Linked DNA regions of Callithrix jacchus. The protein of the gene in region 1 purifies or fractionates together with the protein of each later gene. This does not show direct contact. Links are inferred from orthologs where the notes say so. Each region holds a gene or a part of one and is shown in the gene's direction. Other genes may lie near its edges.

Evidence for each region.
Region 2: the proteins of STX12 (region 1) and VAMP4 purify together in Homo sapiens (affinity purification with mass spectrometry; 3 studies listed by BioGRID and IntAct, counting the BioPlex papers as one, with this or other methods). This does not show direct contact. The link is inferred for Callithrix jacchus from reciprocal best matches to the Homo sapiens genes STX12 and VAMP4.
Region 3: the proteins of STX12 (region 1) and SNAP47 purify together in Homo sapiens (co-immunoprecipitation; 3 studies listed by BioGRID and IntAct, counting the BioPlex papers as one, with this or other methods). This does not show direct contact. The link is inferred for Callithrix jacchus from reciprocal best matches to the Homo sapiens genes STX12 and SNAP47.
Region 4: the proteins of STX12 (region 1) and NAPG purify together in Homo sapiens (affinity purification with mass spectrometry; 3 studies listed by BioGRID and IntAct, counting the BioPlex papers as one, with this or other methods). This does not show direct contact. The link is inferred for Callithrix jacchus from reciprocal best matches to the Homo sapiens genes STX12 and NAPG.
Region 5: the proteins of STX12 (region 1) and SNAP23 purify together in Homo sapiens (affinity purification with mass spectrometry; 3 studies listed by BioGRID and IntAct, counting the BioPlex papers as one, with this or other methods). This does not show direct contact. The link is inferred for Callithrix jacchus from reciprocal best matches to the Homo sapiens genes STX12 and SNAP23.
Region 6: the proteins of STX12 (region 1) and VTI1B purify together in Homo sapiens (affinity purification with mass spectrometry; 3 studies listed by BioGRID and IntAct, counting the BioPlex papers as one, with this or other methods). This does not show direct contact. The link is inferred for Callithrix jacchus from reciprocal best matches to the Homo sapiens genes STX12 and VTI1B.
Region 7: the proteins of STX12 (region 1) and STX10 purify together in Homo sapiens (affinity purification with mass spectrometry; 3 studies listed by BioGRID and IntAct, counting the BioPlex papers as one, with this or other methods). This does not show direct contact. The link is inferred for Callithrix jacchus from reciprocal best matches to the Homo sapiens genes STX12 and STX10.

The regions. Positions count from the first base shown.
Region 1 is NC_133508.1:64,484,230-64,487,451, forward strand, and holds part of STX12 (syntaxin-12), read left to right. Parts: intron 1-1,270; coding exon 1,271-1,343; intron 1,344-2,456; coding exon 2,457-2,539; intron 2,540-3,222. UniProt on the Homo sapiens protein: SNARE promoting fusion of transport vesicles with target membranes. Together with SNARE STX6, promotes movement of vesicles from endosomes to the cell membrane, and may therefore function in the endocytic recycling pathway.
Region 2 is NC_133519.1:30,968,479-30,972,437, forward strand, and holds the start of VAMP4 (vesicle-associated membrane protein 4), read left to right. Parts: upstream 1-1,159; 5' UTR 1,160-1,340; intron 1,341-3,959. UniProt on the Homo sapiens protein: Involved in the pathway that functions to remove an inhibitor (probably synaptotagmin-4) of calcium-triggered exocytosis during the maturation of secretory granules.
Region 3 is NC_133520.1:38,626,444-38,629,943, forward strand, and holds part of SNAP47 (synaptosomal-associated protein 47), read left to right. Parts: intron 1-2,995; coding exon 2,996-3,108; intron 3,109-3,238; coding exon 3,239-3,500. UniProt on the Homo sapiens protein: Plays a role in intracellular membrane fusion.
Region 4 is NC_133514.1:52,336,881-52,340,911, reverse strand, and holds the start of NAPG (gamma-soluble NSF attachment protein), read left to right. Parts: upstream 1-1,231; 5' UTR 1,232-1,426; coding exon 1,427-1,593; intron 1,594-4,031. UniProt on the Homo sapiens protein: Required for vesicular transport between the endoplasmic reticulum and the Golgi apparatus.
Region 5 is NC_133509.1:30,176,359-30,180,384, forward strand, and holds the start of SNAP23 (synaptosomal-associated protein 23), read left to right. Parts: upstream 1-1,226; 5' UTR 1,227-1,310; intron 1,311-2,738; exon of another isoform or gene 2,739-2,846; 5' UTR 2,847-2,943; intron 2,944-3,465; exon of another isoform or gene 3,466-3,591; 5' UTR 3,592-3,632; intron 3,633-4,026. UniProt on the Homo sapiens protein: Essential component of the high affinity receptor for the general membrane fusion machinery and an important regulator of transport vesicle docking and fusion.
Region 6 is NC_133509.1:102,650,717-102,654,041, reverse strand, and holds the end of VTI1B (vesicle transport through interaction with t-SNAREs homolog 1B), read left to right. Parts: intron 1-811; coding exon 812-873; intron 874-2,280; exon of another isoform or gene 2,281-2,494; coding exon 2,495-2,591; 3' UTR 2,592-2,825; downstream 2,826-3,325. Other genes in the region: ARG2 (arginase-2, mitochondrial), read right to left, coding at 3,052-3,257. UniProt on the Homo sapiens protein: V-SNARE that mediates vesicle transport pathways through interactions with t-SNAREs on the target membrane. These interactions are proposed to mediate aspects of the specificity of vesicle trafficking and to promote fusion of the lipid bilayers.
Region 7 is NC_133523.1:11,969,157-11,973,114, reverse strand, and holds the start of STX10 (syntaxin-10), read left to right. Parts: upstream 1-1,158; 5' UTR 1,159-1,270; coding exon 1,271-1,305; intron 1,306-1,546; coding exon 1,547-1,716; intron 1,717-1,860; coding exon 1,861-1,955; intron 1,956-2,319; coding exon 2,320-2,382; intron 2,383-3,219; coding exon 3,220-3,327; intron 3,328-3,958. UniProt on the Homo sapiens protein: SNARE involved in vesicular transport from the late endosomes to the trans-Golgi network.

The DNA.
Region 1 (3,222 bases):
GAAAGAAGGGGAAAGGAAAAGAAAGAAAAAGGGTGAGAGAAAGAGGCCAGGCACGGTGGCCCACACCTATAATCCTAGCACTTTGGGCGGCCCAGGCGGGTGGATCACAAGGTCAGGAGTTCGAGACCAGCCTGGCCAACATGGTGAAACCCCATCTGTACTACAGATACAAAAATTAGCTGGGTGGCCAGGTGCAGTGGCTCACTCCTATAATCCTAACACTTTAGGAGGCCGAGGTGGGTAAATCAAGAGGTCAGGAGATCGAGACCATCCTGGCCAACATGGTGAAACCCTGTCTCTACTAAAATTACAAAAATTAGCTGGTGTGGTGGCACATTCCTGTAATCCCAGCTGTTCAGGAGGCTGAGGCAGGTGAATTGTTTGAATCCAGGAGGCAGAGGTTGCAGTGAGATGAGATTGTGCTACTGCACTCCAGCCTGGGCAACAGAGCGAGACTCTCAAAAAAAAAAAAAGAGAGAGAGAGAAAGAGGGAGGGAGGGAAAGGAAGGAAAGAAAGAGAGAGAGGAGAGGGAAGGGAGGGAGGGAGGGAGGGAGGGAAAGACCCAAATATAGGGGATTTTGCCAATGTTCAGTTCTTCCACTGCTGTTAGGAAAACAAGCTGCAGTTCAGCCCACCAAGCTGATTTATTTTTACCTTCTTTGATCAGAGCAGCAAACAGGATGTAGTCCATTCTCCTTGGAACTCCTATCCACAAACCATCAGATTTTGTCCATCAGTTGGGAGTTCCTATAGGGCATTGTCCAGTGATGATAGAATCCAGCAATTCCTCACATAGTTCCAGAGTCAATCCCAGGGGAAAAGAGGCTCCTTACTTGTCGCTCCTCCTTGCATTCCTCAGATAGCATGATCCTGTGTAAACATTTAAATTCTGCAGTACACAGTCCCAGTGGTTGTCGTAGAGAGGTACTCACTGGCCTTTGTCACAAAAGGCCTAGCAGCCTCCACATAGGGCTATGACACCAGGAATTTGTCTATATCAGTACTCTAGCCTTCTGCTGTACTGTTTGACTTGGGGAATCTTACTGGTTCCCATGTAGCATGTCCAGTTAAAGTTGCTTAAAGGGTAAGGTTATGTGCCTCAGTTTTACAATACTGGGTAGGCAGCAATAGATTATTTTCTGTTTATGGAGAAAGCTTGCTTTATATAGCCTTAAAAACACATGTGTTAATAGCTAAACTTTAGGTACGTGAAGGAAACAAATCTTCTAACATGTTACTTAATGTTAATTGTTTTTTTGTCTTCCTTAGGCTGACATTTTGGATGTCAATCAGATATTTAAAGATTTGGCCATGATGATCCATGACCAAGGTGATCTGATTGGTATGTATTATTGAAAGCTTTAACCTCAAGGTGAGTTGATAGTATTTGGCATGCACGTGCAATCCCAGCTACGCAGGAGGCTGAGGCTCAAGCATCACCTAGGAGTTTGAGGCCAACGTGGGCAACATAATGAGAATCTGTCTATTAAAAAAAAGTAAGAAAAGGAGTTAGTCATATCAGCTATAGAATTAAAGTGAGTTTAGGAATGCCACTTTAAAAATTACCAAATTTATTTTTCTTGGCAATTTCCTTATGTTATCAAATGTAGAAATTAAAGTGAGGTTTTGGGAATATTCAGTCCCATTGACTTGTTTCTTTGTAAGTCTTTGTTTAGAGAAATAGCTGTCAGCTTCCCAGCTTTTATCTCTACAAACTTGCAAAATTATGGGGTAACTCTATTTTTAAAGCTTTTTAAAAAGCTTTCTACATGGAAATAATTTCAAATTTATTAAAAGTTGCAAAAATAGGCTGGGCATGGTCACTCACACCTATAATCCCAGCGCTTTGGGAGGCTAAGGCAGGAGGATCACTTGAAGCCAGGAGTTCAAGACTAGCCTGGGCAATATCGTGAGACCCTGTCTTTACAAAAAAATTAGCCAGCCATAGTAACATTCACCTGTACTCCTAGCTACTCAGAAGGCTGAGGTGGGAAGATCACTTGAGTCCACGAGTTTGAAGCTATATAGTGAGCTATGATTGTGCCACTACACTGTAGCCTAGGTGATAGAGTGAGATCCTAGCTCTTAAAAAAAAAAAAAAAGTAGCAAAAATAAAAATATTACAAGGACCTTCTTTATACCCTTTACCCAGATTTACCTCCTGTTAACATTCTATCCCATTTGCTTTATTATGTATTCTTTCTCTGTCTATGAGTATATACATAATTTTTTCTGAATCATTTATGGGTGAGTTAAATAATTCCTAGCCCCCAAAAATTTGATGTTTTTTTCCCAACGAATAGGGCTAGTCTCTTATCAAGGTAGTAACTTGATTTCATGGTGGATAGTTTGGATGGTGGTAGTGAAACTAGACCCATAACATCAGAAATCTGTTCAATTTGCAGTCTTGAAACATCTGAATGTGTTAAAACATCCTCTGTCCTTCCTTTTGCAGATAGCATAGAAGCCAATGTGGAAAGCTCAGAGGTACATGTTGAAAGAGCCACTGAACAGTTACAGCGAGCTGCTTATTATCAGGTAAAAGTGGATACCAAAGAAAATCATTCTGTGTTTTAGACTTTTTAGGTTATCAGAGTACGTTGACATTATTGAGAACAGCTACAGGCTTTTGCTTATATTTACCTAAAGGAAAGTAGTCATAATTGCAGTCCCAGTTCCATTTTTAGTATTTTTCTTTGCAGATAGATCTACAAAAAATAATCAAACCCTGAATAAACCTACCAGAAGCCTCTTAACTGCAAAGCTAACCCTATAAACTAGCATGAGGCTGGGTGTGGTGGCCAACGCCTATAATCCCAGCACTTTGGGAGGCCAAGGTGGGCGAATTATGAGGTCAGGAGTTCAAGACCACCCTGACCAACATGGCGAAACCCCATCTCTACTAAAAATACAAAAAATTGGCTGGGCGTGGTGGCGCACATTCTTGAACCCAGGAGGCGGAGGTTGTTGCAGCAAGCCAAGATCCCGCCATTGCACTGCAGCCTGGGCAACAGAGCAAGACTCCATCTCAAAAAATTTTTTAAAAATAAACTAGCATGATACCTAAATATGGCATAAGGCTATTTTATGTCCTGAACAGCTGAATGTGTTTCACTTAGGATAGTAAGAAGTTAAAGTAGAAGACTTCATAGATATTTATGTTGACTGTTGCCATAGAGGATGGACATAGCAACTTTGACTGCTATTTATATATGAATAAA
Region 2 (3,959 bases), on another chromosome or scaffold:
GTTCCCCACCGCCCCCCCACCCACAGTGGTTTTAAAAGCTTTCCAGGTGATTCAACTCCAAGTGAATCACTTAGCATTGAGTATCATTGCCCTAGTCATGGCATCTTTCAAATTCGTTAGTGCATGTTTGCATAAAATTACACATCAAACGAAGAGCAACTTTTTTATGAAGGTGTCTATTTCTTCCTTTAGTGTCCTCAGATCTTCTGCTGTTTTCTGGTCTACTTTTGTTTCTGAACACGCCCTTATTTTTGTCTTTGGAGAGAGCCTGGCACGGTATTTCAGACAGTTAAAATACTATATCAACAAAGGACCCATAAATACTGTATTAATGTTAAAAGATGTATAGTGGATATATGATTGAATGAGTAAAATACTCCAGCTGGGGCGTGGGAGGAATGGATAATAAATAAGAGAACGGAAAAACAAAATTAGGAATTGTTTTTGGTAGCCAGCATCTGTGGGCTTGGAGATCTAAATATGATACCAAACTGGGCGGAGGAGGAAGGAGTGAGGGAAGCATGGGCAGAGCAGCGGAATGGCCAGGCAAGGGCGATTTCCCTGAAACCTGAAGGCTTTCAGGTTACAACTAACGGATACCGGGAAAAGAACACGGAGCCGCCGTCCCTTATCTATCTAAACTAGCTGTGTAACTTTAAGTCAATCTCCTCTCTGAACCAGATATTTCTCCTACCTAAAGAAAGGAGGCTGACCTAGGAACCATTAAAATCTCTTTCCAAGTCCAGCTCTAATTCTGCAAACAGGGGATCAAACAGAACTTCTTTCTTCAGAAAAGGCCCCAGACGAAACAGAAGCAGGTCCTCGAGCCGCAAGCCACCCTCCTCTTGCCACCCAACGTAGTCAGCCCGAGGGACGGATCTGGCACAAAGCACTACCTTCTTTGTAAACGCCTTATCACCCCAGCCAGCACCCCGACCCGAGCAGTTCTGAGTTTCCCATCCCTCCCATAAACGCCCTCCACGCACGCCGGATCCCGACCGGAACCTGGAGAACCAGTGGTCACTCATCCCCTAAAGCACAGGGAGGAGCTGCATCTAAAATCCTTGAGGGTCAGGGCTCTTCCAGGTGAAGAGCGCCCGGCGGAATCGACTTCCTCGACTATCTCCGCGCCCTGGACCCGCCCCCTCCGCCTGGCGCCAGGCCGCCGAGCGCCGATCGGCTCGGTGAGCGGAGGCGCTGCTGCGGAGCTGCGGCCGACGCCGGATCCGCACCCACCGTCCCCCCACTCCCAGCTTTTTACCTCAGCTTCCCACTCCTTCCCCCGCCCGTCCAGCACCGCCCGCCCGGGAGAGCTGCCGGGAGTTCCCCGGGAGCCTCAGGTACTGGCGCTGGCCTGTTCCCAGCCGGAGGGGCTGCTGTGAGGAGGGAGGAAATGAAGATGACGCCCCTGCCTCGCCGCCCCTCGACGTCCGAGTTGGGCTGGTTAGCCGGCCTCGGGGATCTAGGAAGGGACCCCAGAGTGGGAAAAAGCTGGGGCCGGGGGTACCGTGAGGAAGGAAGACGAGGACAGGGGTGTGCGGACGGGGAGTAGTTGAGGGGAGAAGAATTGGAATTGAGGGGTACTCTGGGGCGATGGGGAGAGAACAGTGCCATGGATGGGGAAGGTTTGTTAAGAGTGGGAGGCAGTCAGGAATGCCAGGGAGTACCATGGGGCAGGAAGGGCCAACGTTAGGAGCAGATACTTCGAGGGACGTGGCCTGGTGCGACAGATTGGGTGTTGGGGGGTGAGCAGAGCTGCTTCGAATTGTGTATTTAAAGGGCTCGGGAGAAAGAGCGCCAACCCTGCTGTGTTTGTAATGACCAGAAGGTGGGGGTGAATCGTTACACTTGACAGGTTTTGCTAATAACATCTTTGGTCTGTGTCCATCCAAGTTACTTTATTTCTATGAAACTGCATCGAGCAAGACGCTGATGACAGACAAGGAAGAGGAGTTAAAAAGGGAATGGAGGCTGGGAAAAGGAGAGCCTCTGCCCAGATTCAAAGCTATTGACTAAATAACGTACTGCTTACAAAAATTCATACATAAACGTTTAAGTATATGCTGATGCATAAGAAGCATACGGTGATGTGACTGTGTAAGTGAATTGTATAGTGGTGGTCTGTCCTCAATGTGGAAGTACATGATGGCTCTCTTATTTACATGTATTCCTAGTCACCAACACCTGAATTCACGTATGTTTTTTGTAGGGGAAATCTTAAGCAGACTCTATCCTAGTCTCCTTTCTGAGCATTATTTACTTCTACTAGTTGTTGGATACCCGTATCATCAGATACTAATAAATAATCAGTAGTTGCAAATAACATCAGATTTCATCAAGGTAGCTAATTAATCTGTCTACTGCTTTGCGGATGGGTTTTCTATCTGTTGGACATGGTTTCTTGGGATTGAGAGACCTGAATATGAGGTTTGCCCATCCTTAAGATTGTAGTTTTACTATATGTCTCATAAACGCATTATGTAAGTCTGCCTGTTGTTTGCTTTGGGGTGTTGAGGCAGCCTCTATGCATGGGGTTAAAATCTAAATACAGATATAGTTAAAAGCACAAGTTCTTCAGTAATTTGCTTTGTCATCTGTTTTTTCCATGCATTCTGTTACATTTCTGCATAAATGAATTATTCTGAAATCAAAGTGTGAGGAATAAAAGGGCCAGATGTATGTGACAAATACTGTGGAACCAAGAACTCAAGAGCTGTTAGGCAGCAAGAGTTTGTTTTTTGTTACAAGTGAATAATTTCTGATTTGGAAGCATTTCTTATCAAAGAAGAGTGTTTGTGTCCATTTGTTTTGACAAGTAGCTAACTTAAAATATTACTTTTATTTGGTTTAGGAAACCAGACTTTGGGGTTATTCTTTCTGATGTCTAATTTTACGTAATTTAAAGGTCTAAATGCTGCTTCTTGTGGGCAAGGAAACAGGACTATTGGGTTGTTACCGGAAAATGAGTCTCTCTAGAACAGAATTCTGTAAACCTGATGGGCAACTAATTGAACAAATAATTAAAACTGATAATGGATTGCCATTGATTGATTTAGGCCTGTATCTCTGCCGTTTCAATGAGTGTAGTGACTAACATTATCGTTACTAAACTTTAGTTTTCTACTAGTTTCTTAGTGCCTACTTCAAAGAAGCATCATAAAGACTAAAAGAAAATGCATGTGTATCACTGAGCACAGTGCCTAGCATATAGTAAAACATTCAGTATTTCTGAGCTATCCTTAATTGCTGGGTATTCATCTACCATCTAGTCCAAAATACTGAAAATTCATTATTTGCATAGAACAACTTTTTCTTAAAAAAAATTTTAATATGTTGCATATGCAAGCATTTTCCTAGAAAGTCACAATGCATTTAGCATGTAAGAGGATTTGAGTCATTCTGTAGTAAAGAAAACTAGCTTTGTTTAATCCAGTTGTTTTGATGAAAGAAAAACTGAATTTCTCCTAGTCTCTCTCAACAGAGAATACTCCTCTGACCCCAAAAAGATTTCTCCTCATGAGCAAGTAGGCAATTCTGCATCAGGTTCTCCAGCTGGGTGTCCTCTAATTCAATTGGTACTTTATACCTAGAGATAGCATCAGATTCTGCAGGTTGAGGGCTTAATCTTGCAACATTCCTCTGCACCTCGAGTGCCCATCACAAGTTCCAGGTGTTTTTACCTGTGCTTCCAGTAACTGGCTATAAATCAGAGTTCCCCAAATTCCTTGTCTTCAATTTATTTGCTAGAGTGGCTCACAGAATTCAGAGAAACACTTTATTTACTGGTTTATTATAAAGGATATTACAAAAAAATAGAGATCAACAGCCAGATTGAAGAGGTGCATAGGGCAGGGGGTACAGAGCTTCCATGCCCTCTCCAGGTGTGCCACCATCCAGGAACCCTCTACTTGTTCAGTTATCAGGAAGCCCTCTGAACCCTGTCCTTTTTGGGTTTTATG
Region 3 (3,500 bases), on another chromosome or scaffold:
TCATAGAGGTGGGGCTGGAGACCTGGAGAGGGTCGTGGCCAGGGAGCCAGGGGCAGTGACTCACAGCAGGGCGCCTCTCGGCCCATGGCCAGGTCTAACTAACGTTTTTGTAAGTGAGGTCCTGTGGGGCAGTGGACCCCATGTCGGTGTCTTGTGGCCACTTTCACTCCACCCTGGCAGAGCTGTGTAGTTGTGGAGAGTGGAGACTGTGCGTGGTCCTTCATGGAGAATGTGCAGTGCCTGGCGTGGGAAGGCCAGGGAGATCTCGGGGCTGAGAGAGAGAGGGTGGGATCAGGGCCCCTGAAGGAGGGTCTGGCCTTGGAGGTGAAGATGGATTGCGTTCCCCCGTGGCCTCCGTATGGGGCCAGGTGTGTCACTGGGTGGGGGAATGGCTGTCCCTCATGGGAGCAGTGTCCAAAATTGGGATGCTTCTGATGTTCCGTGGGGTGTCCTTGCTTCTGTCCTCGCGCTTCATCTCTGTTTACTTAGGTTTTCTGGGAAGGAAGTCCTGGAAACCTGCGGCTGGAAAAGTGTGGTCACAAGTTTCTCCTCTGGCTTCTTCCTGGGTTGTTGGCAACTTGAATACTTTTTTTTAATGTTTATTGTTTAAAATGTGCTAACGAGAAGAGCCTTGGTTCTTCATGTCCTAATTTCTCGGTCCTTTCCCCCTTCTTTCTTTCTTTCTTTTTTTTTTTTGAGACAGAGTCTCATTCTGTTGCCAGGTGACAGGCTGGAGTGCAATGGCGCTGTCCCGGCTCACTGCAACCTCTGCCTCCTGGGTAGCTGGGACTACAGGTGCACATCAGCATACCCAGCTAATTTTTATATTTTTAGTAGAGACAGGGTTTCACCATGTTGGCCAGGATGGTCTGCATCTCTTGACCTCGTGATCTGCCCGCCTTGGCCTCCCAAAGTGCTGGGATTACAGGGGTGAGCCATCATGCCTGGCCTCCCCTTCTTTCTTTTTTTTGAAGAGACAGAATTTCACTCTGTTGCTCAGGCTGGAGTGCAGTGGTTCAATCACAACTCACTGTAGCCTCAACCTCCCAGGCTCAGTGATCCTCCTGCCTCAGCCTCCCGAGTAGCTGGGACCACAGCACCCCCAACTTTCTTTTTGAATTCAGAACATTTCATAGCTGGTGACCTTAGGCCTTTTACTTACTTTAGTGGTGGGTCCACAGGTCCAGAAGGTGAGGCGATCTTTCCAGAACTGTATACTGTGCTGCCACACCAGCCACAGGGCTCTTCAGGGAGCTTGTGCATAGTTTTACTCCGTTCTCCTGGAGTACCTCCCAGCCATGCCTGCTGAGCAGTGGTTAGCACAGCCTCACTGCCCACGCCGTGTCTGGCTCTCTGTGGAGGTAGTGGTGGTGAGGTGCGGTCCCTCCCCTCGAAGGCCAGGTGTGGCGGAGGTCTGGGCAGCCTCTTCAGCTGGGAGCACAGGCACAGCAACTCTAGGGCTGAGCAAGGAGGGCTGCGGCCCCTCCTGTAGCTACTGGCTTGCCTGACTTTGAGAACCAGGACTGAGTTAGTGTAGTTTATCCTCCTCCTAATTCTGAGAAGCAGATGCCTTTGTGTCCCTGTAGTCTGGGGTCTGCTGGGTGGCCTTGAAGTCGTTGTGGCAGAAAAACATCCATCATGGGTCCTGTGTGCAGCGTGCTGGGCCCTTGCCATTGCCTTGGTGGGGAGTGGGTGGCCCTGGACAGGGCGGGTCCTGTGTGCGGCCCACTGGGCCCTGGCTGTGGTGCTGGGGGTGTAAGTAGGTTGGCCGTGGTACCCTCCATGTGCTGAGTGCTGTGCCCCAGAGGGAGGGTGGACTTGGGCTGGTGTGGGAGAAGCTGGGTGGGGGCTCTTCCGTTGGCCACACGGGCAGTCTGTGGACTGGGGAGACTAGCCAGGCAGCCCCCACCGTCCAGTCACGCCTCCTTCCCTGTGGTCTGCATGTGACGACACATGGTGTGTTCTCCGATGGCTGTGTCCTCATAGAATGAGGGTCCCATTTGAGGCAAGCTCTTCAGGTGCAGGTGTGGCATTTCCTGTCCATATGTCTCGTCCAGCCCTGTGTTGCGGGACATGGTGTGTTGTGCAGCAATTACAGGGAAGACCTGGCTTCTGCAAGTACAACCGTGGTGAGCTGCAGGAGCCAGGGACTGGATCAGGGTGGCTGGTGCCCAGCAGGACATTTGACACATGGAGGGACTCATGAACATGTTGCCAGAATGTGGAGGCCCCCACAGCCTCTCTCTGTGCTGTGGAAAGCCCACACTTTTCAGTATCTGAAGGGCTTACACTGGCTGGCTGTCCTGGTTGTGTAAGTGAAGCCAGGTTGCAGTGAAATTCTGTGAGAGAGAGGTGGGACAACTGCCACCCTCCTGTGGTCCCCTCTCTGCTGTCAGAACCTTGGTGAGGCATCCCCGGCCTGGCTCTGGCCTGGCAGAGTCCTGCGCTCGTGTCTGGATCTCGCACAAGGCCCTCGCGTTTTCTCAACCTTATCTGTACGGCGAGAAGGTTGGGCTGCGTGTTCCATGAGGGTTCATTCAAATCTGTCATTCATGACTTTCCAGACTGGACTGATAAATGTAGATGTGAAAACATGGTAGGACCTGCAGCTGTGTCAAACTGTACACGCAGTCAGCTAATGCACATACGTGTTACCAGTCAGGTCTGTGGAGTGCTGTGTGGTTAGCTGGGGTTAGGAGAAAGGGAAACGCTTGTCTGCAGGATTGTTTCTCTGTGCAGCAAAGTTGATGAATGGCAGTTTCCAAAGGGGAATGAGCATCTAAAGGGAACATCATGGCCAAAAGACAGCACTCCTTGGAACGGTCTGAGAGTAAGGCCTGGGACTGAGGTCCGAGGCCCAGGGCCCTGGCAACGTCTCTAGCGATGCCCTCCTCAGGTCTCATCCAGCAGTGGACGCTGATCCAAGCAGGGTGGCTTTGCTGGGTGCAGGGGCACAGGGTGGTGAGGGGGATGACGGTGTGAACCCTCTGCTTAGGGGATGGGCATGAGTCTGGGGCTCAGGGTCCTGGTTCCAAACCAGCCCTCTTGTTCTGGCTGCTCCTCCTTCACCAGCTAAGAGGGCACATGAGCTTCGTCCTGCAGCCACAGGTGGGTAGAGTTAGCCGTGTGCTGCAGCCTGTGTGAGCCCAGAGCCGCAGGGGAGGTGGCATCCTTGTTGGGTTGCTTGTGTCTCCAGTCCATGGATGACAGCACAGCGTCACTGTCTCTTCTCCTTCAGAGGCAGAAGAGGCCTGGACCTCGGCTCAGGCAGACCCAGGAACAGATGAGCAGGGATGTCTGCATCCACACCTGGCCATGTACCTACTACCTGGAGCCAGAGAGGCGATGGGTTACTGGCCAGCTGTCCTTAACGTCACTGTCGCTCCGGTTCATGACTGACAGCACTGGAGAGACTCTGGTCAGCTTCCCCCTCTCCAGCATAGTCGAGATCAAGAAGGAGGCTTCGCATTTTATCTTCAGCTCCATCACTGTCCTGGAGA
Region 4 (4,031 bases), on another chromosome or scaffold:
AGGAATGGCAAGGGAAAGTAAAGTGGGCTGCTTGAAACTGACACTAGGGAGGGCATGCAATTATGAGTAAGGCCAAGGATGTGACCCTGAGAATGTGTGGCTGCTCTGGTGTGGGAAATATCACAGGAGGTGGAAGCTGAGAGGCTGTACAGGCATTGCAGGAATCATCCATGTGGATACTGACATCATCATGAATTATGAAGGGAGCCAACTGTATGACTGGTTACTATTTCTACCAGACCACTGTACGCGACCTTATGCCCCTCGACTTTCCGTTTAGAGCACTTATCACGGCTTCAAATATTAGAGCGATTATTTGGGCCGGGAGCGGATTTTTTGACAGTAATCAGGGCTTACAAGTCTGTTTCGTTTCTTGACTGACATACGATTAATACCCAAAAGGTAGAATGGATGGATAGATGAATACTATTCTAGCTGTGATACAGAGAATCTTCAGATGTAATAAGTTATAAGGCCAATTAACCCTACAAAGAAGACCCACGGTAGTTTCACATTTATGAAAAACTCCTGGTGCAAGTCTTCAAGAGGACGGGCATTTTTGCTGATTTTCTCGTGTCTAGAATAGTGCCTGACATATTAGGTGCTCTGTAAATACTGAGTGAAAGAATACGCCCCATCAGTATCTCACCGCGCCTGCGCCGGGTGCCCTGGATGGGGCCAGCCTTGACGCACCGCGCTTGCGTGATGTCTCTTTGCAGGGCGCAGCGGCCAGCTCCCAGCCCCGCTTCGCCGCAGTAGCTTGAGCCCTCCGGCCCTCCGTAGCCGCTCGGCTGTGGCACCGCACCAGCTTCCTACTCGGCGTTCCCACGCCTATTCGAGTAGATTCTCGGCGCCCGAGGAAGAGGTAGGCTCATTCTTTCTCCACGTCACAGACCTGACTGTGGAGATGGCGGCTCAGAAGATAAACGAAGGGTTGGAGCACCTCGCCAAAGCAGAGAAATAGTGAGTGAGACGCCGGGCGGGCCTGTGTGTGGACGCCCAGTCCGTCTTTCACAGGCGCGGCCTTAGCACCCGGCTGGACGAGAGGGCGGGCACGGGGCTGAGGGGGCTCGGCGCGCTGGTGCCTGCGGGGCTGCCGGGGCTTGGTGTCCCCGGGGTCGCACTCCCGGGGTTCCACTCCCAGGGTTGCGCTTCCGAGGTCAGGGTCGGGGTCAGGCCTCCAGCGCCTAGGGCAGCGCCATGGGTCCACCCAGCCGGAAGTCCGCTCCTCAGACCCGGTGTGGGCGGGGACCCGGCGCAGTGCTGCGGAGCTGGTCTCTAAAGAGGGCTTCTCTACCTGGGCGCTGAGCTTCTGAAGGCTTCTTGTGGTGGGGGCTGTTTCTGTATCCGAGGCTCGTTAGCAGCATCCCTTGCCTCTACCTGCTACGTGCCTCTCGCACCTCTTCTCCATTTATGGCAACCAAAAATGTCCTCTGGGGAGCAACATCGCCCAGTTGAGAACCACCGCCCTAGCAGAGGCCCTTGTGTGGAGAGGACCATAGATTTACCCCAAAAACTACTCGGTGAACCTTTGTCATCTGGCATTTTACTGTTCCAGTGGGCCACGACTGTGCTTCCGTCGTCCTTTGATGTGTATGTTCTGCCATTTCTGGTACAGTATGTAATAGGCACCCAGGAAATGTTCGTGGGACTGAACTGATTCTCCTTAAATCATTATTTTGGCACCCCCCAGGCTCCCCCCGCCCCCCGCCGTTTCATTACTCCAGCTCATTTTTATCTGACGGGGTTAATGAAAAGTCGGTGCTGTGTTCTATGGTGGGTGCTTCACATACGTAATTTCATAAGCTAAGATCTTCACAGTAACTGCCCAAATAGAGATTTTCATTTTTCGTAAGAGGAAATGAAGCTCATAGAAGCCTCATAATGACTTACCCCAGGGTGCGCAGGTGAAAGATGGCAGAGCCAGTTTTCAAACACTGGAAAAACTCAAACCCTTTCTATCACATGACTCGAGGCAAGCAGTGTGTAAGGTACTGGGGTTCTCCTGGTGCAGGAGGTTTCCACAACAATCTGACTTTCTAGTGGGAGCACACGTAAAAATTGAAGTAAGAATAAATAGTGTGTGGAATAGGCACCACAAAAAAGCTGTATGAACTGTGTAGGTATCATAGAGGGAGAAGTTTGTTCTGCCTGAGAAAATTTAAGGAAGAGATGATTTGTGAGCAGGGCCTGAAAAATACAGAATGTTTTAGACAGAGGGAAAATCCTGTGAAAGAGATTCTGTGCACAATCTGTAGTATGTATCATACACTGGCCTGAAAATGTGCTCTGGGAACAGTGATTGTAGTGTACTTACAGTGACGGGAAAAACTGGAGTGAAGAAGAGTTGGAGCCAAAGTGTGAAGGGTCAGCTTCTCAGATGGCTTTTGTAGGCAACTAACCAGTGGACCCGGCCAGATTTGTTTTTGGTGAAGAAAGAAATGTGGCAGCAGGCCGGGTGTGGTGGCTCTTGCCTGAAATCCCAGCACTTTGGGAGGCTGAGGCGGGTGGATCACTTGAGGTCAGGCATTCGAGACCAGCCTGGCCAACATGGTAGAACTCTGTCTCTAATAAAAATACAAAAATTAGCCTGGCATGGTGTCGTACGCCAGTAATCCCAGCTGCTCAGGAGGCTGAAGCAGGAAAATCACTTGAACCCGGGAGGCAGAGGTTGCAGTGAGTGGAGATCATGCCACTGCACTCCAACCTAGGAGACAGAGGGAGACTCCGTCTCAAAAAAAAAAAAAAGAAGAAAAGAAAAATGTGACATTAATGTAGAGAATGGACTATGGGGAGAGGGTTGGTCGGAGAATTTTGACATATTCAGTAAACATTTACAAAGTTGTCACTGTGTACCTGTACCATCCACTGAGGATACTGGAGTAACCAAAAGTGGTGCCTTCAAGACCTTAGAATTCACAGGCAGGCAGACAAGTGAACAGAGGAGTAAAAATAAGATGTTCAGTGCTAGAATGGAAGTATTCATTATGGTATGCTGGAGATATGAAGCAGGGAAAAGGTAATATGCTCAGGGTGTGAGGAATGGAAGAGGAGGAAAGGTGACTCTCCCATGAAGGTGGTGCCAGACATGTTAGCGGGTTATTGACTTCAGGGAAGAGTTGGTAATGGCCTGAATTCAAGTAACAGTGCAGGGGTAGGATTGGGTGACATTTGTCAATAGGGTTGACATGCTTTAATAACCTGCCTGCTTATAGAGACGAAGGCTTAACTCATCTCTATAAGGTTTCTAACTTGAGAGATGGAGTGGGAGAGGCCTTCAGCCAAGATAGGGGATATAGGTTAATGGGCATGATTGGTGGGTTGATCTGGGGCAGGGAGGTGGGGTGGGGAGGTGTGGGGTTCAGGCTCGTTGCTAGTTTGAAATGCTGCTAGACAGTTACTGAGTGAGTAGCAGGCAAAATGGGCCAGGAGCTTAGGAGATATTTGATTCTTCTCTGTTTTCTAATGATGATGCAGTTCAATATTGCTGAGTAATTTTGTAAATTGATTCCTGTACACAGATGGTAATGTTGCTGTTTTCCTTTTTTCTGTGGAAATTGGTTAGTTTCCTTATTGATTCTTTGGAGAAAAAGAGTGAAAAGGACTAACAGGTATAGCTATTAAACCTAAATTAGCTTTACGTCTTTCTTCCGCATTAGTGGTGTTCATGTGATTGGGATAGTTTTGCCCAGTTTTAAACTCTCTGGGTCTTTCCGTGTATAGCACATTAGGTGACTGAATGATTGTATCTGGTTTTTAGTGGGATTAAAAAAATTATGTTAATATTGATAATGTAGTGTTTGTTTTGGGATAGGAATGGAGGGTTCAAATTTTGCATATTTCCCTAATTTTGTGAATTAGAGTAGACACACCACAATTCAAGGATATTATTTTTCTGAGCAGTGAAATTCTTGGTAAGCTTGAAAAATTGCTTGTACTAATTTGAATCTTGTAACACTATATACACAAAGAAGTTTTAGATACTAAATATGTTAAATAAATAAATTTAATTGGCAAAAAATGTTACTTAA
Region 5 (4,026 bases), on another chromosome or scaffold:
GCGCGGTCTCGGCTCACTGCAACCTCCGCTTCCTGGGGCTCAACCGATTCTCTGCCTCAGCCTCCAGAGTCCTGGGATTACAGGCGCCCACCACCAAGCCCGGCTAATTTTTTGTATTTTTAGTACAGACGGGGTTTCACCGTCTTGGTCAGGCTGGTCTTGAACTCCTTGACCTCGTGATCCACCCGCCTAGGCCTCCCAAAGATCGCAGGCATGAGTCACCGCGCCCGGCCCTTAAAGCAAATTTTAAGGTTTCCCATGGGATTTACAACAGTACTAAACTCTTAGTAAGTACTCAAAAGTTATTTGTGGTTTGAATAGGCTGGATATAAACCATTACGGTGGATACAGCACTTGTTTGCTAAGCAAGAGAACTTCCCTGACCTAGAATGGCAGTCTCAAGTTGCTAAAAGCGAATCTCGAACTTCTCAACAAATCTTACTCTCAAAGATGATTAAACAACAAACTGAAATGGGAGGAGGGTGTAAAGCGTTTCCTCTCCATAACTATAAACCGAGATTCTGACTAAATATTAAATGAACACAGTAACCGCTCCATAATTAGTTGCCATTATTAAGATACATCACACACGGAGAGAAAGGAAAGGAGAAAAAGGAACGAAGGTTGTCAGTCGCGAGAGGTTGAAATGTGTCGCGGGACCTGAGACTACCGGCTTTAAGCACCAGGGTCTTTTGGACTCCCTGCCCAACTGAGGACCGAAGGTCAGCGGCTTCCCCTAAAGGTCAAGGCTTTGGAGCCACATTTCCTTCTGGGGCTGGGAGCAGAGCTGGAACGCCCCCACGAAAATCCGTACCCCGAAGCCAGCAGCACCGCCTGCCTGTAATCCCGCGCCGGCTCTGGGAGAGTGGACCGCTGGGTTACCCCTGCGCCGCAGCCTGCCGGAGCAGAAAGCGGGCCGCGTCTTGCAGCCACACAATCTCCCTAAGGGACAGACCACCAGGACCCTTGGGCTCCAATACGCTCAACGCAGGCCGGCCCATCGATACTCACATTCACAGCCAACCCCTCTTACTCCATCAGGCCGCCGAGAGACAGGCGAGGGAGCTCCCTGACGCCCCAGACTCCCCCCTTCAGTTTTGGGTCCGGGAGCCTGCTCCGGACCCGCTCCCCGCCGGGCCCTGCCACAGCCGCCGCCAGCGCGCAGGCGCACAGCGAGGCCGTCACGCTCTTTTTTTTCCTTTGCCTGCAGCCGTTCTCAATAATCTAGCTTTATTTGAACACAAGAGAGTGAACAACGGACACACAGGAAGAGGTTTTTCTCAAAAAGAATGGAGGAAGAACAAAGGCAGGTCAGCTTGCGGGAGAGTCGGTCCGCAGCATTGGACGCTATGAACAGTCTCCCTGGTCCCTTTTTCATTTTCTTTATTTCTCCTTGTTCTTTCCCGGCCTCCCTCTAGCTCCTTCCTTGGTGTCCCGCCATTTCCTTTAGTCAGTGGCAACTGTTCAGGCTAAAATTTGAAATAACTCCTTCCTTGTAAAATTTACTAAAATTTAATGGGAGGTGCAAGAGCTTTTAGGACAGACCTGCCCGAGTTTCAGATCTCGGACTAGCTACTAATAATTTACGACTTTGGGTAAATTAAAATTTTTCTTGGAACCTCAAGATCTTGAGTTAAAATTAGGATAATGTTGGGCCAGTCACGGTGGCTCATGCCTGTAATCTCAACACTTTGGGAGGCCGAGGTGGGTGGGTCAGGAGATGGAGACCATCTTGGCCAACATGGTGAAACCCCTTCTCTACTTAAAAAAAAAAAAAAAAAAATAGCCTGGTATGGTAGCGGGCGCCTGTAGTCCCAGCTACTCAGGAGGCTGAGGCAGAAGAATCGCTTGAACCCGGGAGGCAGAGGTTGCAGTGAGCCGAAATGACGTCACTGCACTCTAGCCTGGCAACAGATCATGACTCGGTCTCAAAAAAAAAAAAACAAACAAAAAACCCTAAAATTAAGACAATGTTATCTCACAGGGTGTTGCTAAAATTAAATAACATAGGTCAAGTGTTTTATCCATGAATGCTGCCTATCACAGAGCAGACATTCCATTATAACTGGTTTTATTCTTACTCATGCCTAAGGTATTTATAATTTTTTTTTTTTTAGGTAGAAACGGGTTTCACCATCTTGCCCAGGCTAGTCTCAAACTCCTGGGCTCAAGTGAACAGCCTTCCAAAGTGCTGGATTACAGGTGTCACCCACTGCGCCCAGCCTACATTTATTATTATTACTGAGACGAAGTCTCACTCTGTCATCCAGGCTGGAGTGCAGTGGCACTATCTTGGTTCTCTGCAACCTCTGCCTTCCGGGTTCAAGCAGTTCTCCTGCCTCAGCCTCTCAAGTAGCTGGAATTACAGACATACACCACCATGTCCAGATAATTTTTGTATTTTTAGTAGAGATGGGGTTTCGCCATGTTGGCCAGGCTGGTCTCAAATTCCTGACCTCAAGTGATCTGCCCGCCCCGGCCTCCCAAAGTCCTGGGATTACAGATGTGAGCCACTGTGCCCAGCCGCCTATATTTATTATTAAACTTAGCTCATACCCATTCCCTCAGAGCCGTAATTTTAGTGACTGAGACTAATCAGATAAAGGAAATGACATTAAGGTTGATCATTATGTGAAGTGTTCCTCTTATATTATTGAGATTATAACATCTCTGTTTAACCAGACCGTCAATGCCTCAAATAAAAGTGAGCAGTTACATTCATCTCTATGTATATCCAGATTTGCTTCTAGAGGTTCAGGAAACTTCCAGTTCTGTGTTTGTGACATCACAAGTCCTTGAAACACTCAAGGGCTATGGTATGCTGCTCATTTTACTCTCCTTCAAAGGCATGCAATGGAAGAACTATTTTGCCCTGTAAACTCTGGCCCATCGTTCAAGGAAAAGCCTTTAGAAGACCACAGTCAGATATTGGTGATTATTAAGGTAAGCTACTTTAGTGTTTGTCAACTTTGGGATTACTGACATTTTTGGAACATATACTTTTTTGTTGTCAAGGGTATTATGTGCATTATAAGATGTTTAGCAGCAGATCGGGAGCACTAGCTCACATATGTAATCCTAGAACTTTGGGAGGTCAAGGCAGACAGATCGCTTGAGTCCAGGAGTTTGAGACCAGCATAAGTGACATGGTGAAACCTCATCTCTACAAAAAATATGAAAGTTAGCCGGGTGTGGTAGTACACACCTGTACTCCCAGCTACTTGGGAGGCTGAGGTGGGAGGATCTGAGCTGCAGAGGTAGAGGTTGCAGTGAGCCAACATCACACCACTGCCCTCCAGTCTGAGCAAGACCCTGTCTCTCTTTCTCTCTCTGTCTGTCTCTCTCTCTCTCTCTCTCTCTCTCTCTGTGTGTGTGTGTGTGTATGTGTGTGTGTGTGTGTATGTTTAGCAGCATCACTGGACAAGATGCCAGTAGTATCCACCCCCCATTTCCCTGTTATCACAGACATTGCTAAATATCCTCTGGAGGACAAAAGTGTCCCTGGTTGAGAACCATGGAATTATTATCAATGACCATCCCAACCCTAAATGAACTCAACTGTGCATTTTCTCCACCTCTGCCCTTGAAAAGTGACTACTGCTTGAGAAAGCTACACAGGAAGGGAGAAAATGGTGAGTTCATTTTTGCCCATATTAAAAAGGCCCTCAGTACTGCTTACCAGTCCTACAATGTTTTTCTATCCATTTCTTGTATTACTTTCTACAATATTCCAAATCTTCTCAACTTTCCTTTAAACTCCCAATACTATCTCCTTTTCTGTCAGATGATCCTATCTCCAACCTCACAGAGAAAACAGGTCATCAAATGAGAACTTTAACTTCCTTTTACTAAACATACAAACAGACACATTCTTCCTCTCATAATTGGGGAAGGAAGTATCTTCACTCTCTCTCTTTCTCCCTCCCTCACTTCTTCCAAAACCACTCCTCTCACCAGTGCTTTGAACTGCCTCGAAACTGCTGCTATTCTTACCCTTTCAAGAACTTTCCCTACTGACTATCCCTT
Region 6 (3,325 bases), on another chromosome or scaffold:
GCAGTTGAAAGTTCCATGGAGGTTAATTCCTTTCACAATTCAATGTAACTGTCTCTTAAGAGGGTAAAGAAAAAAGATAACGAGATCCCAAAAGCAGTAACACACTAACCTACAAATACAAATGCAGCCAGACGTGGTGGCTCACGCCTGTAATCCCAGCACTTTGGGAGGCCAAGGCAGGCAGATCACGAGGTTAGGAGTTCTAGACCAGCCTAGCCAATGTAATGAAAACCCTGTCTCTACTAAAAAAATAAAAATACAAAAATGAGCCAGGCATGGTGGCAGGCACCTGTAATCCTAGATACTTGGGAGGCTGAGGCAGGAGAATCGCTTGAACTTGGGAGGCAGAAGTTGCAGTGAGCCGAGATTGCACTATTACACCCCAGCCCAGGTGACAGTGCAACACTCTTTCTCAAAACAAAAACAAAAAGCAAATGCCACCTCAAGAAGCTGTCCTGAAATCTGGCTGATGAAATTCAGATCTTAAGTTCCTCTGCAGTCACTGGTTGTCCAATCTGCTGGCTGTACTTGAAGGCTTCCCTTTTGGAGTAGCCATAGTGAAAGATTAGCTCAGTCTCAGGAGTCCATCCCTGGCAGCAACCTAGGAATATAATGATTCGTAAGCCTACTTAATGAATACTAAAATATCTTGTCCTTTCCAGGTTCTACTTATACGCAAAGGCCATCATTTAAATTGGCTTGATTTCTTGGAATTTTTCAACAGCCCTTAATGCCCACTGTTAATCTAGGGATATTAAAATTGTACAGAATGTACTTTTGAAAGGAAATAATCACTCTTTTCTCTTCTCAGCTGGTAAACACAAGTGAAAACTTGAGCAAAAGTCGAAAGATTCTCCGTTCAATGTCCAGAAAGTAAGTTTTTAAAAGTCATGAAATTTGTCTTAATGTCTTTCAACCAAAAAGCTTAAAATAGTGACTTACAAAAGTCCTAATAAAGCACCTCAGCAGTTGATGCCAGATAGTCCCCGTATACTCAGTGCTACCCAGCAGATCAGAAGAAATACACTAAGGAATATGGTCTTGGATAAGTAGCTCAGGATAAAATCATTTGTTAAAAGAATATACTGCTTTGACTTAGAGCAGTGAAAAATTTCTCCACTGAAAGGACATTTAATCACAGCTGATGTTCGTTAGAGAACGCAGCACGTGGGAATAACAGAGCTTCCTATTCCTTGAAATATATTTGTAAAATCTCTATTAGAAAGCAGTTTTCACTTGCATAGTACTTGTGTTTTGGCTCTGTTTGCCCTTCATGGGAGTCAGCACCTTTTCTGGAAGTTCTGTCTTGTTAGCAAGAAGTAGATTTTTAAAAATAAAACCCTTAGGGAGTTGTCAGGGTTGGTGGGCATTAACTGAGGCAAGATGCTGTAGAATCTGCTGGCACTGCCAGATTGCCCAGAGGACCTGGAGCATTGCTTCACACAGGCATTTTGAAAATGAAGCTCCAGGAAACACAAGCTGTTTCAGGAGGAGAACGGAATTCTTGGCATCTAAAGGGTGGTGGAGCTGATGACCTCCTATATAGAGCCACCATGGTTCTCAATTGGTGAAGCAGCATATGCCATGCATCATCAGTTGGCTATGGTTTCATTTCCCAAGAAACAGGATTGACCAGTCATCACAGTGACTTAATTCAGTTTCATTCAGCTCTCTATGGACTCTTAGTCTGATAAATAGCCCTTTTTGAAGATCTCTAAGCCCTTCTTTGAAGATCAATATTTGAATTGTACTAACTGCCACCAGTAAAGTAGTCTTTACCAAAAGTAAAAAACAAAACCCTTGTGCTAATAGCAACAAATCCAGGGCAGAAATATTGCCACTGAGGTTGAAATTGGGTTTAAGAGAGGATTGTGTGTGACCTTGTGTACAGGTGGCCTAGCATAAAACAAAACTACAACTCAGTCATGTAACTAGCAGGAGGGGTGAGATTTTTCTACAGTGGTAAATTCTTTGTGGAAGAGGAAGAAGCCTAGAGTGAACATGAGAACCAGAGGTTGGATTTTTAAGCTCCTGTACTACCTTTATAACATATCCATTTGGGTTGATAGGAGAGCAAAGGGAAAAATAGGGCAGAGGAATAGAAGTTTACAAGGGATTGAAAGGTATTACCCAGGCTTCTAAGTTACTTTATCCTAGGGCAGGACCCATTCTGAACAGGATGTATATTTGATTACTTTTTCTCGATAACCCCTCTTTCTAGAAAAGCTATTTTTAAAGGAAATAACTACTGTTTGAAGACATTTCAGAGTCAAGAAATCATTTTTGTGCTTTGGTTTTTATTGTCTCAGTTTAACATTACTGTGAGGTAGACAGTATTATTCCTAAGTGACAGCTAAAGAACCTTATATGTACTTCCTGCTAAGTGGCTGTGTGATCAGACAAACAGCCTCAGAGTATCCAGCCTTGGTCCCAGGTCAAACCCCAAAGTAGGTTATCCAAAATTCTGACTACTCCCCACTTTGTTTCTTTGTAGAGTGACAACCAACAAGCTGCTGCTTTCCATCATCATCTTACTGGAGCTCGCCATCCTGGGAGGCCTGGTTTACTACAAATTCTTTCGCAGCCATTGAACTTCCTATAGAAAAGGGTTTGTGGACCAGACTTTGACCTTGTGAATGCATGATGTTAGGGATGTGGATAGAATAAGCATATTGCTGCTGTGGGCTAACAGTTCAGGGGTGCACTGTGTAGCCAGACTGTGGGAGAAGGGAAGGAAAGATGGAAAGCCACTTAAATGTGAAGGAACAGCAACAAGACCAATATGATATACCAAGGTAATAAATGCTGTTTATGACTTCTTTAAATTTACATAGTACTGTAGCATATTAATACCCTGTGAACTGCAAAAAAAACCAAATACATTTATAGTAGTATTGGTCACCAAAATAGAAGGGAAACTTTACATTTGTGAGAATATGCAGATATTCTCATTAAGGCAGTATTGACCAGACAGCCATTTAGTATCTGTCCCCTCAAATGCCTCATAATTCTGGAATGCCCATTGTGAAATATGTCAGTGCACAGTATCTCCTAAATTCTCACACGTGCTTGATTTTCCGATTCATCTGGTGAACTGGGAGTAGGAAGTTGGTCATAGACAATGTGCCCTCCTTCCCTTGTCTGACCAAAACTTGAAGCAATCACATCCACTGCCAGGTTAGCTGTAGTCTTTGCCTCTTCCTCTGAGGTGGCCAACTGAGGATTGACTTCTACAAGATCCAGTGCCGACAACAACCCTGGAAGAACAAAGTGTAACAAAACCTCAGATTCCTTTGCTGCTACTCAGTGAGGGTCATCCCACTGG
Region 7 (3,958 bases), on another chromosome or scaffold:
ATCCCTGTCCCCCGCCCCACAGTGATCTGTCTTGGGACACCCTCCCGTCCTGCCCTCCCCCCGCAGGTGGGGACTCAAGAATTATTCCCCCCAAAAAGACCCTTTCTAAACTTGTCCCCATTCAACGAAGCTGCCACCTGAGGAAGACGCCCCCGTCCCCACCCCAACCTTACCACGGAGACCCCCACAGTGACTTCCCCAGCCCAGGCACCAGGCACTACCTCTGAGAGCCCACACAACAACTCTGACGCGCAAGGGGGCGACCCTCTGAGGACTCCCTCAGACAACCCGCCCACCCTCCAGGGGAGACCAGGCCCCCCACCACTCAAAACGTGCTTTCTCAAGACTCCCCTCACCACCCAATACACAGAGCGCCACTGTCACACATAGGGTGACACTATGAGTCCCTTCGCTGATACTCCTGGCCCCTACCCAGAGGGAGACCATCCTCAAAGCCACCATCACACCTCCTGGGACACCCAGGCTCAAACCCAGAAAGACTCCGCGCTTCTAATGAAACCCACCACCACGCGCGCCCTTGAGGATGACCTTCCCCCGCCTCTGGCATCTCTGAGACCCCCTCTCAAGACCACCTCGCCCCAAGGCGACCTCGAAGTTCCCTCAACTTCCCCACTTCTCAGGAAAGAGAGACTGGGAGAATGCAGCAGAACTCCCCGCACAAGCAAGTCCCCTCCTCACTCCGCCCCCGCAGGGAGAAGAGTACCACCTCTCCCTACACCATGCCCAAACCTGAAACTCGGGACCCTGGACTGGGACGATCTCCGAAGTGCCAGCTCAGGGAGTCCATGAAAAGATTCAACGAATGGAATGAACCCCTTCCCCAGCTATAATCCCCAACCGTCAGAAATAAGGGAGGCTATCATTATTTACATTGCCCGTGCCCGGAAGGGAAACTGAGGTTGCGCAGCAACAATCCGAGGTGTTGGGTCTCGAACCGAGATTCCGAAGTTGGACCCAAACAGGCCCAACCAGAACTCGGACACCGCCCCCTACGGGGCGGCACACAGGGGGCCAAGGGGCGGAGCATATGGACCGGAAGCTGCCTCTGCCCAAAACCAAGATGGCTGCAGAGAGGACGGAAGTGTCTGCACTTCGGGCCTCCGAGGCCTCTCCTTCTCCCCTGGCGGTCCCGCTCTCGATGGTGACGTGACGGGGGCGGGAGTGGCGGCGCGTTCTCCTCAGCTGCGAGGCAACCAGCCAGCGAACCCAGGCCTGGAGGGGGTTCGGCCTGAGGGGGAGGGAGACTGACATGTCTCTCGAAGACCCCTTTTTTGTAGTCCGAGGGTGAGTGACAGCGACGGGGGCGGGCGGAGGGTGCTCAGTCCCCAAGTCAGCCAGTGCCCGGGTGCTGGCCCCAGCATGCCAGGCGGGCTGGGCAGGGCCGTCGGGGTGCAGAGTGGGAGGCGCAGGCAGGGGGATACTGGGGTCTCCGGAGTCCCCCATGCGTTTGGGTTTGCAGTCGGGGGCAGAGGCGGGCGGGAGGACCGCCTGCCCCCAGCCGCGCCCGCCGTGCCCCTGCCCGCAGCGAGGTGCAGAAGGCGGTGAACACGGCCCGCGGGCTGTACCAGCGCTGGTGCGAGCTCCTGCAGGAGAGCGCGGCGGTCGGACGCGAGGAGCTGGACTGGACGACCAATGAGCTGCGGAATGGCCTGCGCAGCATCGAGTGGGACCTGGAGGACCTGGAAGAGACCATCGATATCCTGGGGCTTTGGGGCGGGGGTGGCATGGGAGAGCCCCCTGCGGTGGTAGGGGCCTGGGAGGTCGCCCTCGGGAAGGGCTGGACCCCTAGGGAGGGAGATGATGTCTGGCTCTGGCCTTGACCCTTGACTCTCAGCCCACGCATAGTGGAAGCCAACCCAGGCAAGTTCAAGCTCCCGGCCGGGGACCTGCAGGAGAGAAAGGTGTTCGTGGAGCGGATGCGAGAGGCCGTCCAGGTGCGCAGAGGTCCTGCAGGCGGGGTCTTTTCTCTCTTTTTTTTTGAGATTGAGTCTCACTCTGTCGCCCAGGCTGGAGTCCAGTGGTACAATCTCAACTCACTGCAACTTCCATCTCCCGGATTCAAGCGATTCTTGTGTCTCAGTCTCCTGCGTAGCTGAGACTACAGGAGCCCGCCACCATATCTGGCTATTTTTTTGTGTTTTTAGTTAGAGACGGGGTTTCACCGTGTTGGCAAGGCTGGTCTCGAACTCCTGACCTCAGGTGATCCACCCAACTTGGCCTCTCAAAGTGCCGGGATTACAGGCATGAGCCACGCCCAGCATGAGTGTCTTTCCTCCCTAATGCTGTCTTCACCTCCAGGAAATGAAGGACCATATGGTCAGCCCAACAGCCGTAGCCTTTCTGGAGAGGAATAGCAGAGAGGTAAGCCTTCCTGAGCACCTGGGGGTGACCACGCCGTTGAGTACGAGCCAGATCCTTCTGCGTGTGTTCACCTGTCCCTTCTGTGACAGTGCCCATCCTGTGTGCAGTTGTCTTCTTGCTGTCTACCTGCCTGCACTTCCTGGGTGTGTGCACCTGAACCTCTCTGTGTGTGTGTGTCCATGGGTTCCTCTCTACTGTCTCCTCTGGCTGTATCCTGGTTTCCTATTGCAAAGGAGGATTGGAGGCCTGTGTACCCCTCTCCTTTCTGCTTCCATACCATTTGTCCTGTATACAGCTGTTTCCAGGACGCATGCCTGCCTTTCTCTCTCTCTCTTTTTTTTTTTTGAGATGGAGTCTTGCTCTCTTGCCCAGGCTGGAGAGTACAGTGGCTCAATCTTGGCTCACTACAACCACCGCCTCCTGGGTTCAAGTGAGTCTCCTGCCTCAGCCTCCTGAGTAGCTGGGATTATAGGAGTGCACCACCACACCCTGCTAATTTTTGTATTTTTAGTAGAGACAGGGTTTCACGTTGGCCAGGCTGGTCTTGGACTCCTGACCTCAGGTGATCTGCCCACCTTCACCTGCCAAAGTTCTGGGATTACAAGCATGAGCCACCATACCTGACCTGCTTTCTGCATTTTACAGATGAATACACTGAGGCACAGAGAGGTCAAATAATGGGGTCCCTGGGTCACCTTGTTAGTAGGTGGTGAGTGAGGATTGCAGGCTGTCCCACGCCAGACTCTGCCTCCCTGACTCAGCACCGTAGGGCCTTGCCTCACACGCCCTACTGTAAGTTGGTGTCCCTCCCCAAGTCTGTGTTCTGTGTCCCTGCAGATGCTGGCGGGCAAACCAGCTGCCCAGAAGTCACCCAGCGACCTGCTGGATGCCAGCGCCATCTCGGCCACATCTCGCTACATGGAAGAACAGCAGGCCACACAGCAGGTTTCGGGGCAGGATGGGTAGATCCTGAGAGGGAGGAGCCTTGCAGACCCATCTGAGGTCTGAGGTCCCTTTCTTTCTTCTTCTTCCTTCTTTTTCTTCTTCTCCCCTCCCCCATTCTTCTCCCCCTTTTCCTTCTCCTTTCTCTCCCCTCCTCCTTCTCCTCCTCCTACTCCCTCCCTCCTCCTCTTCTCCATCTAACTCCTGCTCCTTCCCCTCCCCCCTCCTTTCCTTTTTTATTTTTTTGAGATGGAGTCTTGCTCTGTGGCCCACACAGAAGTGCAGTGGTGCGATCTCAGTTCACTGCAACCTCTGCCTCCCAGGTTCAAGTGATTCTCCTGCCTCAGCCTCTCAAGTAGCTGGGATAACAGGCACCCACCACAATGCCTGGCTAATTGTTTTTTTTTTTTTTTTTCCTGAGACGGAGTCTTGGCTGTGTTGCCCAGGCTGGAGTGCAGTAGCGTGATCTCAGCTCACTGCAACCTCTGCCTCCTGGGTTCAAGTGATTCTCCTTCCTCAGCCTCCCGAGTAGCTGGGACTACAGGTGTGCTCCACCATACCCAGCTAATTTTTATAGTTTTAGTAGAGACAGGGTTTCACCACTTTGGCCAGGAAGGTCTCAATCTCTTGACCT